Linked DNA regions of Arabidopsis thaliana. The protein of the gene in region 2 interacts with the protein of the main gene of each other region in a biochemical or structural test. Each region holds a gene or a part of one and is shown on either strand. Other genes may lie near its edges. The genes, in order: AT3G11130 and AT3G16270.

Region 1 (4,882 bases), 2.0 Mb from region 2:
CAATGTGAAATAGAATTTAAATCCAAGAGACAATTGTCTTCTAGGATATCATGTAACATTTAATTATTCTTTCATTTGCTTGAAAATGTCAAAAATGCACTTGTATATTGAAACGGAGGAAGCGTCAAATCTCGATTTCTAATTTTCTACATTATTGTTTCTATCAGAATGACCTTTTTCGTCAAATTGGCACAATAATGACTTCACCAAGAAAATAGATCCACACATCTGATCCAAGATAATTATCACATACCAGATTTTCTGCACCAGGGAGGTTTCCTCTTTTAGCAAGATTGACAGCAAGTTCCAAATTGTTCAACTGTAATATAAAGGCATAGATTTCTTAGCATGTCATGATGAATAGATAGATTATATAGAGAAGAACAAAGTAAAAGTTGAACATACTTGACCACTAATAAAAGGTATTATGGTGGCCTCATTTACTGTTGCCAAAAGAACTTGTCCTCGCCTATTAATGGCATAGAAACCCCCAACTGAGGAAGCTTCAGACGTTAAGAAAATTGGGTCCGGACTTATCCGATTTCTGTAGATAGCAGAAGCTGTCTCTAGATCATATACAAACAGCAGGCCAAGCTTGGTGATGACATAAATCAAGTTAAACTTGTGAGAGACCTGTTGGGAGAAAGAGAAGTCGGTGTCATGAATTTTTCACAAGAAACTTACTGAAGTTAATTGAACAGCTAATGCAACTACAAACCTGCATGGCCACAGGAAAATCATCAGCAAAATCTGGGGGGAAAAAGAGATCTGCCTGCTTTTTTGTAAATGATGGTTTCCCTGAAAAAAAGCCGCCCACCTTTAAACATCAGACTAATACCAACTAACAATAACCATGAAAATATAGAGCAGTAGTTTAAGCTAACCTGGTTGGGCACCAAGTTCAATAACATGCAGCTTTGATGTTATCTGCCCAGCATTAAAGCTCTTGCTTGCAAATGATATAAGAATCGAAGGATTCTCATTCCCAGGGACCTATCAATAATAATGTCGCTTGTCATACTACAGTTCAAGATCCGACCATGGAATGAAGTAGCAAAGGTATCACATAGTTTACCTTAAACTGAGCAAAAGATGCAGCATGTGCTTCAAGGGCCTGGCTCCGCTGTTGATCCACAGAGAAAAGCTGCATATTTCCTTTCACCAATTGTGGTCTCTACAGAGGATAATAATGACAAGATTCCGTCAAAAATATACAACATGACTGCCGTTATGATGTCTTAATTCAACCTAATACGTGGTGCAGGAACCCTACCTCAGGAGAGCCAGGGGCAATTCCAATCAAGACCAACCACTTCTCATTAGGAGAGCACTTATAGTTTATAATTTGATTGTTTGCCAAATTAGCCGTTCTATCAAACATCTTAACTGGCTCAGAATCACCTGGAAATATCGAAGCAAAAATGAGAAACAACATATACATGATATGAAGAAGCTGACAGTAAGTTAAAGATATAAAACCTTCAATTGACCAATGATACACAGAAGTTTGTGTGACCAGTCCCAGCATCTTAGGTGTGATCCACTTCCAAAAAGCAACCTATAATATCCAAAAAATTCAGACCAGTAAAATCAGAGTCTGTCTGAAGAGTACAACATGAAAGATAATCGGGTTACAATTTGTTTGCTTCAAAATTCACCTGCTCAGGCATCTGATGTGACTTCAACTTTGCCTTTGCTTCAATGTTAAATATCTGTAGATGATCCTGAGTAGTTCCTGGAACTTGAGCTATATACGATACGAATTTAAGAAAAAGTTAACAACAAATTAAGGAAGAAATAAGTAATAGCTTATACAAGGAAACATCCAGTACAAACCAAAATTTCTAGTTTAACTACACTAAGCTTGAGACACAACACTGCCACGAGAAATATAACACGTGTTGGAAAACAGAGAGCGCTATACTGATGTTTTCTACAGCATTAAACATGCTATCACCCCAAATCCAGAAAAAGAGTATAGGACTACAACATAAACTCGAAGAGTGTAGTTACACTTCCATACTACTTTAATAAAAATAGGTTTTCTATCAAGTGACGCATCACAACATGGACAGAGTCATTTAAACTTCAAATAAATCAAAACATCCTATCCGTAATAAATAGCATATGTACAGTTAACAAAATGAAGGAGAAGCTATCAATGGTAGTTCTGGAGAAAACTTTAATAGGAACCACTTATGGGTCTTATAACTGATCATACACTTCAAAAGGAGAATCTTATGGGTGTTATAAGTGATAATGCGATCGAAGGAAACAGTGTAATACCTTTTAAGGCAAGGATCCTCGAGTTTGGGTTCATAAGAGCAGAATCAGCAGTTATAGGCCTCCTTAAAGGCTGCATCGGCATATTCATATCGATAATTACAACACTGTTCTGCGGTGCCGTCTCTCGTACACATATGTACTTATCAGACTCCATAGTAACATTTGTAAAGGTGATGAACTGTTGACCGATCCCAACGCTCGGAAGCTGGAAAATTTCCAAAACAAAAGTAATCAATTGGCATAGTTCATTAACTTAGTTACAAGATCCGAGTAGATAAGCACATTGCGCAACACAATAACTTAAAACTAAGGACTATATACATTCAGATAACACAGATCTGAGCGTCCGCAGAGAAAATCTGATCAGAGAACTTGATCTCAACGATCGGGTAGAATTGAGAACAGAATGAAACTTGAATCAATCATATAACAGTGTGAGCAGAACCAAATCGATAGAAATCAGAGACTACAACTATAGAAACATGTTAATCGTCCAAAATTTTAGCTCGATTCCCGGAGATTTAAAAACAGAGAACTCACCGTTAGGACCTCCTTCATAATGATGGGCGCGTTAGCAGCCGCCATGTTTGACCTCAGATCGCGGCGAGAGAATCCGGGGCCAGAATCAGATCCACGGAAAGGACGGGACCGTCAACGGCCGAGCGATGCGAGAGAAACTAAGGAAGATTTGAAATCGCAGCCAGATCTGAGGCAAGTGAAGGAGAAAGGTGATGATGGTGGAGAGAGATTCGTTTTTTTCTTTTTGGAAAGTGAGAAATGACGAAATAGCGATCCAATCGGAGTCACTCGTCGAATATAAGGAGAGAAACCAAAGGAGAGACGACGTGCTACAAGTGCCTGAGCTGTACGATGTGCTTTTGCCAAAGTTACGGGTTCGGATAGTATTCGGGTCGAGTTTCAAACCGCGTAAATCGACGGGTCGGGTTTTGTCACGACACACACTACTTTTTGGGAATTTTATGCGTATGTTTTGAGCAATGGTCAATGACTCAATCATGGTTAAAAATTAAGATGAACACAAACGAGAACGAAGTTTGAAATAAATTTTCTAAATATGGAGATGAAACAAAAAAAAAAAAACTTTTTACCAAAAAAAAAAAAAGATATACGAAATTTTCTATTATATCTTATCAAAATTAGGGTATGAAGACCAAAATATTTAAATTTATGTCGATTTAAGTGTTGCATGAAAAAATCGTATAAGAAATTTACGTCGATTTAATTAGTGTTTAGTGAAGATTGTATTACTTATAATTTTAACTCGAATTAAATGATATAATCAATTTTGATGTATATAATTCATTCTCACAAGAAAATTAAAGAGCAACACCAATATGGATCACTAAATAAGTAAACATGTATACGTAGATTTGAAGTCATTCATTGATATTCTGCCTCAATGAGAGATTAAAAGCCAACACTGTATTTCCTCATTTTCAAAAACAGGATGCTATAAGCGTTTGTGTCACCTTCTAATTATAACAAATAATCAACATTGGAAAACAAAAGTTATGAAGTAGAATTTGGTTATGATCTCAAAAGACTCAGTTTTAAAGTACATCATCAAAGTCATAGATTCTTCTATATAAAATCTAGGAGTTGAGTTTAGTGTGATAGAGTCATTGGTGTAACCTAAAAGTTTGATTTTGAAATAGTGACAGTTTTGATATGAGTATATATGAAAAAATTAGTTGAATGATGGAGTGACTATCAAAATAGAACATTCTCTGAACTGAATCGAACAAAAACAAAAATATCTCAATGCTAAAATGCTAACAATCCGCTGAAAATCAAAAGATTTTATGGGGGAAAAAAAGTAACAACAAGAACTATAGTACCAATTCAACCCAAGAAAGAAACAAACAAATCAAACATCGGTTCGTCAATCTTTTAAAGATTTGATTCTGTATCTGTCAAGTGGATCCCTGAAGAAGAGACGTTCTTGGTACACTCTCCATGCGTACTCCTTGAAACTAAAAGGCCTAAATGCCCTTCTCTCATCACTTCTTGCTCCTCCATCTTCTTCCTCCTCCTCTGCATACTCTTCTTCTTTGTCGCCGTCACTGATCATATCCTTCAATGATGAAACCATACTGTCCATGGGAAGTGTAAGCATCAATGTCATTGTTACACACTTTACTGGACCATCTTTTTGTCCTGAACACAACACTGGTCGATATTTCACTCTTTTGACCTCTCCATTTCTCCAAACCTGCCAATTTTAAGTTGTTTGTTAGCTGTTCAAAAGTTGAAAACTATATTGTAGAAAGCTGTTAGGTTTTGACCTAAAAAAAAAAGAATTGTTGAATTCTATAGGACACTAAGTACAATTGCGATGTGATGTGTATAAGTATTTAAATATCGGAAATTTCCAAATTCTTATTTCTTTCCCAATGCCATAAATCTGTTTCAAACGAAAAGTGAAAACACATTCCCCGGTTATGCTCCACAATTGTTGTTGTTGTCAACAATAAATATCGGAAATATCCAAATTCTTGTTCTCTTTTTGAACGATGCGTTGGAAAACATTTATTTTGGATAATGTTTAAAATACATTAAAACAGCCAGTTAACGG
Region 2 (6,683 bases):
CTGCTAAAGTGCTAATGAGAGAGCTTTGATTCTGAGGTTTTTTTTTTTAATAAACTTTCTTTTAGTATAAAAACATAACACGTTTTTTTTCTGGTTTTTGGATGTGAGAATCAATAGTAATTATTACAACCGTCAATCGTACCAAATTAGACTCTTAAAACTGTATAGTATTTTTTTTATTTTTTTCCATATACATATGAGTAAATTGTGATTTTGATTTTACAACTGCATACTATTATTATTGTGTTCTTGTTTTTAGATTATTTTGATTGTTCTTTGTTTTGGGTGGAATTAGACTATTTCTTTCTTTTAATTTTTGTCAACAAGCATACTATTTCTTATTTCAAAGGCTAATTAATTTGGTGGAAATGTGTCAAACTATCAAAGAAAATAAATACTTAATTTGACTAATGAAATTAGACGCTCCATTTTAAGTGACATTTAGCCTACCCATCTTTCAATTATCATGAAGATTTTATAAAAATCCAAAAAAAAAAAAAATATATCTACACCTATTATATGTAATATACATTTGACCATATTGATAATTTTTTAAACGAAATAAAACTGAGGATGGATTTGCCAACAAAGAAGCATAAAAGATGCAGAGAATGTAAAAAGAAAAGATTTACAGAAGAGATCGTTTATTAACTTTCTAAAAAATAATCTCAATGTCTCCTTCGTTTCCTATTTGAGAGAGACTTGGAGAGTCTAAAGTTACTTCCATATGTCACTATCAATCTGCCCGTTGAGGTATTTTTATTCATTCTTTATTTTTATATTTACACAGTATGGGAACCTCAAAATCTTATTAATTGGATTTATGTAATGAGGATGTCACTCGTCATTTTCCCGTTACCACTTTTTAAAAAGATAAGAAAAGTAACTTCCACCATTTTTTTCAATCTTTACCGTTGGTAGAAAGTACACAAAAGATGCATTCTTATTAAACTTCAGGTAAGAAAATAAAGGGGCATCATTTCCTTTTTCTCTCATTAATCAAACTCTGAATAGTTTCACCTAAATAGATTGAGAAATTATTAGCTTTCTTTCTTTCTTATCGTATGAAAATATCTACACCAATGCAAACACTTGACCAATGGATGTATCCTAAAATAAGTAACGCCAATTTAAAATGAGCAAACCAGTATAACAGGCAATGCTGAGAATATGGACCAAGTTTAACGTGTGAGAAAAAAAAAGCTCATTGCAGCCACTTAGATTAGATCTACCTTATTTTATTAACTACTCCAAATTGTAACAGACATCACGATTAAACAAAATTATCCCTGGCTTTCGTTTTTCTCCATCAACAAAATTTTCTAATTAAGAAACGCAAAAACAACTGGACTTGACTTGAAGTCTTTAAACTATTCATATGCATTTCCTTTCTCAGTTTCATTTCCTTTCTTGTCTACGTTCGATACACAGACACAAGTCTCTTCAGATATAATATATAGCAACGGAACAAAATAAACACATCTAGTAACAAACAAAAAGCAACTCTACAACTACATGTTCATGCCAAGAACAATGGACTCCAAAGAAGAAGAAAAACCAAAGACAAAACGAGGAAACAGATAAAAGAAGCAAAAACCCTTACCATATGAATTATAAAGCTATCTCCATTTTCTCCTCAAGTCTATACAGCTCTCATAAATTAATGTTTTAGCTTCCTGCACCCTTGTGTCCACATCTCATGAAATAGCATTTAACACTGGAAGGCGGAATTTTGTAAGCAACCATCAAGATACTCTCTTTGTGTCGCGGGCTGATGTAAGATGATCCTGCATCACACAAACATTTATGTAGTTGCTCCATGAGTGTATGTACATCAAACGAAGGTTTTTTAACTATGCCACAAAAGTAGATCTAGTCTGACTATGTTTAGGTGGTTTTAATCGAGCTAGACATTATGTGTGTGAGATTTGATGTCACATGTACAAAGACAAATGGCAGATTGACCAAACTTTAGAATCAAAGATCAGGAGCAAGATGGCAAAACTTACAGAAATGAAATCGAAGGCTCTGGTATCTTCTTTTTTCGAACCATTCATTGTTGAGGTTGGAGCCTGATTACCAAAATTTGGCTGGAATATATCAGGGAGTGCGGACTGATTCCCTCCACTTGTACCCATAGAAAGAACATTTCCGCTACCCTGAGCGTTCAGATTGCCGAACTGCTGGAAGTTGGACATATTACCAAGGTACTGCTGCTGCTGAGCTAACAAGCTTGCCATGGCAGCGTAATTCAAAGGTTGGGATGCAAAAGCTGGATTCATCATCATCCCTTGAGGAAAATTGAATGGCATAACACCTCCAGGAAGCATTGTGTTTTGAATAAACCCAGGATTTTGTGAGCCAAGAATGCCTCCAACAGGATTTTCCGGTGCTTGGTGGCTGGTGGTGCTCGGCATTGCAAATAAATCCTGTGGAAGAGTGCTTGAAGACGAGCCTTTCTGATTTGAATTGTTTTCGTCAATGGAGAAACTTCCCATCAAATCATTAATGTTTTTTGCATCTTTTGGCTCTGCTTCAAGTTTTGCAGTTGACCCAAACATATCAAATAGATCAGGCACATGATTACCACCAACAGCAGCGGACTTTTCCCCGACAGTCATTCCAGAGAAGAGGTCATCTGCACTTTCTTTTTCTTCATTCGGATGAAATGAGACATCTGCAAAGGGGTCGTCATCAGTTTTCTTCTCGCTGCTACTCAGTCCAATGTCAGAGCTATCCCCAAACCAATCATCATCCATCAATGGACCTGCTGTCGCCACTGTACTGCCAGTATCTATAGCATTCAGATTGTTCAAAGTATCGTCTGAATCACCGGTGTCAATCAAGTCAGGTAAATCAACAGCAGCCTCTCGCTTCACAGTATTATCAGAGCTGCTCATCAACCCACTTGACTGTCCACCATTTAGAAGGCTCAGAACCTACACAACATCGGTATCTCGAGTTAACCAACAAATTAGCATAATGCCAAAAAAGAGTTTTGTGAATGGTTATAACAAGCAGAAGCTTACCTTGTTCGCCTTTTCTCGAAGGGAAGATTGTGGAGACTCTGCGCACCGCTGTATGGCATCCAAGTTTTCACTAAAATAGGTATGTACAATTGAAAAATTCTCATCTTCCTTCTTCCTCAAAATGGCCTCAAGGACACATAAAGCTTTCATCCGAACCTGCCAAACAGAAAAACACAGTTACTTTCAAAGTACAAAAGTGGGAAGATTAACGCTACAGAAGAAACAAGCCAGGGAAAAGAAAATACAGATGATATAATCAAGAAAAAAGTACATTAGTAGCATCAAACAGTTTCACAAGGAGGTGACTAGGAAATAATCATAAACATACCTGCCACATTGGAGAATGGAGCTTCCCGTCAAGAGCAATGCTTAAAGCAACAGCGTCCATTTTTGCAGCCTCTAAAATGAAAACATGAAGAGCATCACGAGTTGGCTGCAGGCGTACACCACCAGATGTAACAATGGTTTCCAGCAGCTTTTCCTCACGAGTTTTGCTCTCAACACGAACTGAAGCAGAACTTTCACTTGCTTCTCCGGAAGCGTGGCCCCAAGATCCACCAGTCGTGTTCTTAGACGTTCCGTAGTTACCATCCTTCCCCAGCTTAACTGGATCATATCTACTGAAGTTCTCATTTTCCATAGTTAATGATCTGTGGAGATTTGGACCTCTGTAGCTGCTGCTGCCATTCTCATTCTTCTTTGGCAAATGGCCTTGAGCAAAATTACTGATTCCTTGCTTTATAGATGCACTTCCAATACCCACCACCTCACTAAGGAACGATTTATTATCATTAGAGGGCACCTGAAAGTTAGTATTCCCGAATCCTTCAATGCGTCTGTTGATGCTTTCAGGAGCAGCTGGTTTAGTACCATTCTCTTCTGAGAATATAGCAGAAATTGTTTCATGAGCAGTTTCCCGTACAGCCTTATTAAGTGCATCTCCTTTTAAAGGATCTGGATGCCCCTTGTAATGGAATAGATTGCGCACTGCAACCGAATTCCTTTGCATTTCTCGTCTAAACTCTGAGCCAGACTTTCCCACAGCATACTTTATCAACCTAAGAGCCTGTATATACATATAATAACCAAAATCAGTATAACCAGTTCCTACAGAGCTTTTAGCCACAATAAGATCCATTCTACGTCTCCCTATAAACAAACTCTACGCTATAATCAAACACATAAAGCTTTCTCTTTGATCCATTCTAAGAAAAAACAAACATCTACCTACAATCTAAATCAATCCCGACATGCAAACATTTCAATCAAAATCTTCATGGAAAACAAATGTCTCACAAAGGAACAACATTTCACAATCAAAAACAGAAAACAAACGTAATTGAAAATACCTTCTGCTTAACAATGGGGCTTTTGTTATCAAGACGTTTCAAAATGAATTCAGAAAACTCCTTGACGATGCTGACATGAGAAGAACGAAGGAGGTCACAGATCTCTTCCAATTTGTACACAGGCGCAACTTTGTCCTCATCAGACGTAACCGCATCTATCATCCGCGACCTCCAATACGATTCCACAGCTCTCCTGCTCGTATCCATGGCGAATTCGAAACAAAACAACCCTAATTCCCAAAATCACAACTTTTTCGTCCTCACCAGTCAAAAAAGCTTCAAAGACAACAACTTTATGAAAGACCGATCCTCAAAACAATTAGATCAGTCAAAAAACCGATCCTTTAAGCTCCAATTCCAGCTCAAATTCACCAAACTAAAGATCACGATCGGGATCCAAATTTCCCCTATAAACCAATCAACGCGGAGGTAAAATTAGACCCTTGAGACAACACAATCATGCGTCAAGCGGAATCGAATCAATAACCTCGGAGAAATCAGCAGAGAACGGAGAAATTGAGAAGAAAAAAACTCACCGATTCGTATGTGACAGAGAAAGAAGGAAGCGGTCAATAAAGAGGAATGGTTGTGTGTTCTTCGGTGTCTTTCCTTATTTCCCAAAGTTCCGATTTTTTTTAATTTCTTTTTCACAATTCACATTATGCACATGAAACTGATTTATTTCCTCTGTCACACTCACAGGAAAAATCAATTAAATTGATATTATTTCTAAAGACAATACAACACAGTCAAAAACAGGGGACAAAACAGAACATTCTAATCTATATACTAATTGATGAAAAAGCTTGGGACTTTGTCACGTATTAAGCTATCATCATCAGTCTCTTCTTCTTCTTCTTCTTCTTCAACCACTTGGTTTCTGAATAGAGTTTTGAAGTAAGGTAAAATCTTTGGAAGCACATGTAAATCCGCCATGTTTATACTCATCATATCAAAGGCAATGCATGTATTGTGCATATGTGATTCGTCAATCACCGGGATCTTTGGGTATCTCTGGCTAAAATGTGTCAGTACGGTTCGGTATACACCTGCTGAAGATCCAACTTTGATTGCTTCTTTAGTTGTGCTATGGTTTTTAGCCACAGCTTCTTCTACCAACGCATCCTCAAACGTCGCCTGTTATAAGTTTGAAAAGATGGTAAATTTTAAGAATGAGATGTAAATGTTTTACACAGTTTTGCTTATATAGAAAAGCACCTCATGTATAAGAACTGTTGCTCCTTTTGAAGCTTCAACCATCTCAGGACAAGGCCTTGTGTCTCCCGAGTAAACCATTTTCCACCCCGGAATCTCATCTCCGGCAATGTTTTTTCTTTCTGCTGCTTTTAACGAAACCCCAAAGGCTTGAGGGCAATGCACAACAGGAAAGCTAATCAAATGCTCCAACCCCATTTCGCCGAGGACTTTTTTCAGTTTCTTCAAGAATGGTAAAGCTGAAGAATTGTCTGTCAGTGGGCTGCTCGGTCTTTTATATATACTCTGCATTAGACTTCCTTTACTGAACAAAGAACCCTCTGCATTGCCGCTACTGGTATTTTTCTCAGGGCGGCTGGTTTCTACAGAAGCCCAAGATGTTGTTGTGGTGTTCCTGCAGTCGAGAAACTCCATATCTAAATCCTCAAGTCTTTGATATGCATCGAGAAAGTTCTTAAGCGATCTCGGTCCAACCACAATTGCTGGCTCATGAGCCAATCCTTTCAAAAGCTCACGTCTGCGAGCAAGGATTCTTGCAAGACCCGTATGGTGATCAGCATGGATGTGAGAGATCCATATACATCTCAAGTTTCTGACTGCTTCATCAGCTCCTTCTAAACCATATCTTCGTTTAAGCTGGCCTAAGGTACCTTCCCCACAATCCAAGAGAATACTGCCTCTAGAGAATAGGTCGATGTAAATTGCCGTGACATTTCGGTATTTTGAGGGTTGGGAGGAACCAGTGCCCAAAAGAACTATCTCCATGTCGTCTCTTCTAATGTTTTCAAGACAGCTTGGAACAGTGCTTTCACCCAGCCATGGCTCTTCGATCATCATCTTGTTGTGTTGTCCATTCCATAACTGCTTGATTTCTTCGGTCTTACTGCTGATTTCAGGAATTTCTGAAAGAAGCTCATCCATCACTCGTAAAGCTGTTAATCGACTAGGGATACTAGATCTGTCTACCCCAAGATTACCATGTGGACGCAAAGTGAACTGCCCACAATATATCAATGAGAGAAAGCGAGAGACTTAAGAGCTAAAGAAAGGAAGTTTCATATGGAATGATGCACTGAAGCAACATTCAATA

What was found.
Region 1: the proteins of AT3G16270 (region 2) and AT3G11130 form a complex in vitro, tested with the Arabidopsis thaliana proteins (one study listed by BioGRID).

Annotation. Positions count from the first base shown.
Region 1 is NC_003074.8:3,488,797-3,493,678, forward strand, and holds the start of AT3G11130 (Clathrin, heavy chain), read right to left. Parts: upstream 3,270-4,882; 5' UTR 2,872-3,269; coding exon 2,827-2,871; intron 2,492-2,826; coding exon 2,287-2,491; intron 1,748-2,286; coding exon 1,659-1,747; intron 1,559-1,658; coding exon 1,480-1,558; intron 1,402-1,479; coding exon 1,274-1,401; intron 1,175-1,273; coding exon 1,076-1,174; intron 994-1,075; coding exon 885-993; intron 799-884; coding exon 719-798; intron 634-718; coding exon 406-633; intron 320-405; coding exon 254-319; intron 1-253. Other genes in the region: AT3G11150 (2-oxoglutarate (2OG) and Fe(II)-dependent oxygenase superfamily protein), read right to left, coding at 4,190-4,519. UniProt on the Arabidopsis thaliana protein: Clathrin is the major protein of the polyhedral coat of coated pits and vesicles. Mediates endocytosis and is required for a correct polar distribution of PIN auxin transporters.
Region 2 is NC_003074.8:5,511,603-5,518,285, reverse strand, and holds AT3G16270 (ENTH/VHS family protein), read right to left. Parts: upstream 5,014-6,683; 5' UTR 4,915-5,013; exon of another isoform or gene 4,786-4,914; 5' UTR 4,586-4,785; coding exon 4,379-4,585; intron 4,096-4,378; coding exon 3,358-4,095; intron 3,186-3,357; coding exon 3,030-3,185; intron 2,940-3,029; coding exon 2,010-2,939; intron 1,788-2,009; coding exon 1,746-1,787; 3' UTR 1,604-1,745; exon of another isoform or gene 1,354-1,603; intron 1,021-1,353; 3' UTR 680-1,020; downstream 1-679. Other genes in the region: TRZ4 (tRNAse Z4), read right to left, coding at 5,168-5,515, 5,597-6,589. UniProt on the Arabidopsis thaliana protein: Mediates clathrin-dependent trafficking of vacuolar cargo from the trans-Golgi network (TGN). Promotes plant growth.